Linked DNA regions of Bombyx mori. The protein of the gene in region 2 interacts with the protein of the main gene of each other region in a pairwise test. Links are inferred from orthologs where the notes say so. Each region holds a gene or a part of one and is shown on either strand. Other genes may lie near its edges.

What was found. The genes of interacting proteins can lie anywhere in the genome.
Region 1: the proteins of pre-mRNA-splicing factor Slu7 (region 2) and peptidyl-prolyl cis-trans isomerase-like 3 interact in binary tests that used the Homo sapiens proteins (3 or more experiments, as listed by UniProt). The link is inferred for Bombyx mori from reciprocal best matches to the Homo sapiens genes SLU7 and PPIL3.

The regions. Positions count from the first base shown.
Region 1 is NC_085121.1:6,437,645-6,441,094, forward strand, and holds peptidyl-prolyl cis-trans isomerase-like 3, read right to left. Parts: upstream 1,984-3,450; 5' UTR 1,864-1,983; coding exon 1,723-1,863; intron 1,343-1,722; coding exon 1,244-1,342; intron 1,168-1,243; coding exon 1,049-1,167; intron 857-1,048; coding exon 730-856; 3' UTR 659-729; downstream 1-658. Other genes in the region: sarcosine dehydrogenase, mitochondrial, read right to left, coding at 3,301-3,450. UniProt on the Homo sapiens protein: PPIases accelerate the folding of proteins. It catalyzes the cis-trans isomerization of proline imidic peptide bonds in oligopeptides. May be involved in pre-mRNA splicing.
Region 2 is NC_085129.1:14,360,960-14,364,719, reverse strand, and holds the start of pre-mRNA-splicing factor Slu7, read right to left. Parts: upstream 2,365-3,760; 5' UTR 1,993-2,364; coding exon 1,827-1,992; intron 1,486-1,826; exon of another isoform or gene 799-1,485; intron 1-798. UniProt on the Homo sapiens protein: Required for pre-mRNA splicing as component of the spliceosome. Participates in the second catalytic step of pre-mRNA splicing, when the free hydroxyl group of exon I attacks the 3'-splice site to generate spliced mRNA and the excised lariat intron.

The sequences.
Region 1 (3,450 bases), on a different chromosome or scaffold from region 2:
GAAAGGCAAACGTGACTAAGCTACAATGCGTGAACTTTACAGTAGACTAATTTAAAGTTGAAATACCTGAAAACAAAATTTATTTTAACGAATCTAGCTGTAGTAGAATCTAGCTAGTAGCTGTATGATTGAAATGATTTTAATAGACCTAGAAATATATATTTTTTGCGCATTGAATATGATTATTGCCTATCATTTATATACAAAGCAGTTATTGTTGCTTAGTCACGTTTGCCTTTAAAACATCGATATGGATTAAATAAATAAAGTAGTGTATCTTAAAAGGAAAATGTATGGACGATTTCTAATGTATTGAAACTCAGTACCTAACTAATTGTGTAGTTTGATTTGTAAATATTGCAGTTAATCCAAAGATTTTAGAAAACTAGCTGTAGTTAGTCATACATGTGACATACTCAGATATTAGTTAACTAGTGTGATACATAATAAATAATGTGACTGTTGTTATGAAACACGAAATAATTTGGAACACTAAAGCATTGCACTATTGATCGAGATACATATTCTCTGTAATGTTCACAAAAATCTGAAACTTATAATAAAATGTTCATTTCCATGTTATCTTTTTTGTTTAATTAGCACCAAACAAGTTATTGAGGTAATTCTTCGTTCATTGGCAAAAGGATAAAAAAAAACATAGTATGCACATTTGATTTATTTACTTAATAAAAAGTATTCCAGTCTCAATATGCAAGCCTATAGTCTTGATCAACCAGCTAATGGATTTGCATGGATTGTGACAGATGTGATCTTGGCTTCTGTCAGTGGTCTAAAAGATTTGGGGTTTACTGGCATCTTCTCTAAATCATCTAATGCTTCAAAACCATCGATTACCCTAAAACAAAGCAAAAGATTACCTAATTGTTTTACTCATTTATTGATCAACTCTGAGTACTTGAACAGAACACATTGTTATAATAGCTAAAAAATATCTTGAAATATTGTGTATATTTCATTTTAAAAATAATGATTTATAACTCATGTATTGGTGAATGAATTTATAAGTCATTCATAAAGTTACACTAACCTTCCATAAATGGTATATTTTAAATCTAGATGAGGTTGTTCTCCATACGTAATGAAAAATTGGCTTCCATTCGTGTTTGGCCCATTATTTGCCATACTAACTACACCTCTTGCGTTATGCTGAAAAAATACTTAGGGGTTATGTGTTTGAAATCATTTTAAATCATGAGTGAAGATTTCAATTTTTTTTGCAAACCTTGAGTTCATCCTTAATTTCATCTTCAAATTTTCTTCCCCAAATAGACGTACCGCCTTTCCCAGTTCCCGTGGGATCACCAGTTTGTACTATAAATCCCTGAACAAATAGAATTTGCATGGAAATTTATTAACTTTACTTCATAACGACCTTTTACTCAATCTTCACAATACTACACTTGAGTTGACTATTATCAAAGCCGACAATCTGACTTTTGGATAATTATTGGTAAATCAGAAAAACGAATTATTGACTTTGTATTCCATTGGCAGTCACAAAACTCTTCGGAACGACATCTTAGATAAATAACAGGTTAACTATTAACCTTTATTTAATGCAGGTTTTGAACCGTATTCTTTGAAGGAGACGATTATATTCAAATCAATCTGTATTGACATACCAATAACATTTTTTTGTCCAAATGCACAGATTGCCACCTTTGATAATAGACGACTCACTTATAAGATTTATTCAAATACCTTTATATTCCTGTGGAATAAACAACCATTATAGTAATCACTTGCACATAGAGCTAGAAAATTCTCACACGCTTTCGGACATTGCTCGCAATATAATTCAATCTTGATATCTCCGACGTCTGTGTGCAAAGTAACTGCCATTGTTTCCAGATTATAACTTATTAATACAATTTTACATAATAAATATTTTGTTTAGATATTGTTATTTTTTTAAGTTATGGACAACTGACGTTGACGTAAAAAGACATTGACCAGTTGACAGTGACAACTTTGTATCGAATTGAAACGAAGGGGAAATGACTGTAGATTAAATCATATTAAACCTTGTTTCACACTAACATTATAAATGTGAAAATGACTTTGTTAAGCTTTCACGTCTTAACTACTCAGTGATCACCATGAAATTTTGCATATACGATGCATATGGGACACAAAAACATAATGGTCAGGATTTAGCATGGTAGTAGATGGCAGATGAACTGACGGCGTTCAGTATCAAATACGTTGTGAACATCTGCGAGTGTAACGTTTTTGCTGAATCTACCAACGAATCGAAATCGCGACCAACTGATAGGAAACAGATTAGTGAGTTGTCCGCAGGTTAAGTCGCACAAGAACGGTGAACGGTGGTTGGAATGCCTGAAAGTACAGATTGGGAAGAACCAAAATGCCGTGCTTAGGTCGACGGCGGCTGTGCGTTGCCCCGTCATCTGTCGGGTAAGCAATTAGAGACGGCCATGATAAGAGGATTTAACATAAACGAAGCCGTATTGTACGAAGTTCGCGTTTATAACGCATATCGGAGCGGTAAAATTCTATTAATTATCTAAGCTTAAGACAAAATCTTATTTTTCATTCTTAGAAATTTCTCTTCAATTAGAAATCTTATATCTTTAAACGAGCAATTCTTGTATATAAATATATAATCTGAATCTCGGAAACGGCTCCAACGATTTTCATAAAATTTAGTATACACGAGATTTCGGGGACGATAAATCAATCTAGCTACGATTTATTTTCAGAAAATGTTGTTTTATTCGTGTTTTTAATAATCAACTTTATCGATAATCAACTTAAACATAAACTTTTTTTTTATTGAAAGAAAATAGCAAATTATATAATATCAATATGTAATTCGTATTTAAATATAATTTCTAAAAAACATCCGTCATTCAGAACATTCATAAAAAACGGTCATCCTCCAGTTGCTCTTAAATGCCGAACGGATTCAAATTGATATTCAAATTTGTGGGAAAGAGACAACGTACTCTCATAAAATATTTATGTATATCGGCAGCATAAATCGCCGAAACATATTTCTGAGAAATTGAGTTTTATTTCTTCAATATACGTACGCATTGCATATATCTTTCAAAATTATACTATTTTTCAATAAGTCTATTCCACGTATCAATCATATTTAAGCCATTCGTTTTTACAAGGTTCGTAATAAAGTTATATTAAATTATGTTAAAATATTTTTTTATTTCAAACTTCATCAGTCACAGAACGTTACATATATTTAAAAAAAAAAATTGTGCAAAGAGTTGTTGGTATGATACGGCAAGTAAGTAGCTATTATTCACTGCCGCCAGCCCGTTCGTTTTGTCCAGCGTGAGGTTCGTGCGTGTTCTCATCCATGCCCTGATCTCCGTAGTTTCCGAGCAGCCTTTGCCCGTGAGGGTCGAAAGGGGATTTGAAGTGAAACGTCGCCTTGTACTTCTGTCC
Region 2 (3,760 bases):
CTGCGTTGAAATATGGCCGAATCGGCAGCACTTGTTGCACTGGATAATGGGAAGGACATAAACTTCAACTGGGAGAGAAGTAAAAAAGCAGAAAATCCGATTTGGAAGTTTTTGACCAGAGAAAGTTAAAACTACAGATTGGGTAGGTATCCAGGTAGGGACATTATTTTCTATTTTCTTCCTATTCAAGCGGCGTGCTTTAATGACTGCACCGCAGCCAGCAGGAACTTCTACCGATTGGACCAGCTCCTCTAAAGTCCATTCTACTGGAACATCACGCACAATTCCCATTCGTGTAACATTATAAGATGGGATGTTCGCTTCAAATTTAGCCGGCTGAAGTGCTGGGTGTTCTAGAAAAGCGTTAGCCGCAGCAGCAGATTTAAATTCCACTGAAACCCTGTTGCGGCCAATGCGTTTCACACCATCCTGTATTACATTTTTTATGCTGTTTCTGAATAGAAAGTGTCCGAATTTGATGGGTTTCAAGGTGGGACCAGCAGACACATCTGTTACCGTCTTATTAACGTGGACTAAAAAAGGGGCAATGTCATCTTCACAGTATCGGGTCTTACGTTCAACAAAATCGGGATGTGTGTACGTGGACTGAATCGACGGCGAAGTTTGTGAAAGATTAGTAATCGTTTTTTTAGGGGGAATGTTTTCCTCAGACTGTGGTGGTCGTTTTCTGGAATTGGGTGGATCTATATCCATCTGAGAAGAAAAGTTTTGTGAGTGGGGCGCACGTGGTCCTTTATAACCTCCCCCGGGATCGTGCGGGTCATCCATGATTCTTACCTTTTAATAATATAACAAACACAATATATTTACACTCACGGCACAACAGATATATACCAACACCAACACGAATCAGTAGCGCAAGTCAACAGCAATTTAAACAAATAATATTAATTAAAACACCGGGAAACTTCGAAGACACTTGTGTTCACACTCGACGTCACCCCTTTTTTTCTTTACCAGTCTTAGGACTGGCTACATTATTTTCAGTTTTTAGTATTTTGTGTCTTAATTTAAAATTACAAAATATACCAAAAGAGTGTAGATTTCAAAAGTTTAATACAAACACAAGAAATAAACTCAATTTTTGGGATTCAACTAAAAATAGAAAAATGTGTACTTTAAAAATCAAACACAAAAAACTTTTAAGTATTTATAAACACTTGTCCAAAAATTCTAGTTCAAGGTCAAAGCGCATGAAATTAAATTCAACGATGCAAATAGGCTATACTGCATTCAAGTTAGGGTCGAAAGTTGAAACTTCTTTCCTAAATTGTATCCTGCTGATACGCTAAGAATAATCTACAGACATATGGGCTTAATTATAAGGTTTACAATTGTATGGATAATGCCTGTTTCTGTTTCATTCATCACATGATATCCCTATCGTGCGCTCACTCACTCTGGCCGATTCGATACGAACCAAACGAATATTGCTGATATTCACGAATCGGTACGATATGCTGATGCGCATCACATCGAGCAATATCGTGTATCGGCTGATATCGATATATAGATTTCGTGCGGGGCGATATCGGATTCAACGATATTGCTGCGATATATAGATATTGAATCTATATATGTTTTATATCACCCACTCCTAAGTGTGAGTATAAGTTCAGCATTATTGGGAGAACTCATATACTATTCCCAATTTCTTATAAAGTGGAAGTCACATGAAAATACTGCACACCTTTTGATAGAAGACGTCAGCAATAACCTATAGGTTTACATTAGCACTATAGATAATTTTATCTTGTTTACAAATAATTGAAATCATGAATAGGATAAGGTCAAAATCGACAAACCTGTTTCATCAACAGCGGCTGGTGCTGTTCCAGCTTTTCTGGCCTCCTCTAACTCTTTAGCTTTTCTCCAGTCTTCCCTAGATTTCTTCTTGGGCTCATCGTCTTCTTCGGTGTCATCTTTATTGCGTAAAATTTGTGATATAGGTACACGAGACGTCGTCGCCATTGTCTGTACAATATTTTCTTAGTACGTTGTGATTAATTTTATTCACGATTACTTTGGTTGTAGTTTTTGTGATAAAAAAGTCACAAACGAAAACATCAATTTTTGGGTTCACAACTCACTATGTCTTTTCGATCTTTTTTATTTTTGAACTATTTCAACATTAAAAACTGAAGACATAAGTTGTTAGAAGTGTCGATTTTTTTTAATACGCATATCGTGTATGAACTATAATTTTATTTATTACTTTAGCCCACTGCTTTAGCCAGAGAATAATAACTCAAACTCAAAGATTGTGAAGTTTGGATGCACAGAACACTATTTGTTTGGATGTGTCAAATGTGAATGTGTTCTGTACATAGACCTACTTCATTGGTTCTGTAGTTCGATTTTTCCACCTGGAAAGACGCAGGTGTCACCCATTCAGCCAAAACAGATACAGCCAAAAAGATACGGACACGCTCTTTATACACACTACTGGCTGTTTTAAAGAAAGAGTGGCAACAATAGTCCAAAGAAGAATGTTTTAAGTTAATTAGTGGGCCGTTCTTATAGCCTACTTCTAGGATGAACTAATTTATACTTATTTTTTTCCAGTCAACATGCTGAAGCCCGTGGCCGATCTAGGGGTGGTCGTGGTGTCGGTAGAAGTGTCTACACACGTGGTGGAATTTACCCCCAAACCAGTCCTTAGGCCGCTGAACCGTAATTATAAGAGGTCTTACAACTAAATCTTAAAATAAGATACCTTTTTATTTACTTTATTTATTTATTGCATTTGTGGAAGAACTCACAGCCAGCCTGGTGTTAAGTGGTTACCACAGCCCATAGACATCTACAACTTAAATGCCGCCATCCGCCTTGAAATATGATATAAGTTCTAAGGTCTCAGTATAGTTACAACCGCTGCCCCACCCTTCAAACCGAAACGCATTACTGCTTCACGGCAGAAATAGGCAGGGTGGTGGTACCTACCCGTGCGGACGGAAAAGTTCGCACGACCAGTCATTACACAAATTATAATTTTTCGGGTTTGATTTTTATTACACGGTGTTATTTTCTCACCGTGGAAGTCAATCGTAAACATTTGTTAAGTACGTACTTCATTAGAAAAATTGGTACCCGCCTGCGGGATTCCAACTTCCAGTAATGAGGACTGTGGTGGGTTGGCACACGCTCGGCATCAAACTAACTTAATCTGATCCGCTATCGCTCCCGTTTAGCCCGGACTCTACCTCGTCCCCTCAGGATACCGCTGGAGCCATAGATATCGTAACGTCACACATCACCTCGACATTACATAGGCCAACCAAGCAAGTTGTAGTGGAGGATTTTCTTCACCGCTTCAAATTGCCCGACGATGTTAGGGAACTCCATAGAGCCAAGAACGCCTCGATCCGCGCTTACGATAGGTATCCTACCGAGGAAAATAGTATTAGAATGCGTGCCCTACAACGCGACGTAAAGTCTCGCATCGCCGAAGTCCGAGATGCCAGATGGTCTGATTTCTCAGAAGGACTCACGACCTTCCAACGGTCTTTCTACCACTTAGCTCGTAGTCTCAAATCGGATACGTTAGTAACTATGCCCCCCCTCGTAGGCCCCTCAGGCCGACCCGCGGCGTTAGATGACGACGAAAAAGCAGAGCTGCTGGCCGATACATTGCAAACCCAGTGGACGCCCAGCATTCAATCAGCGGACCCTGTCCATGTAGAATTAGTAGACAGTGAGGTAAACCGCAGAGCCTCCTACCCACCCTCGGATGCGTTAC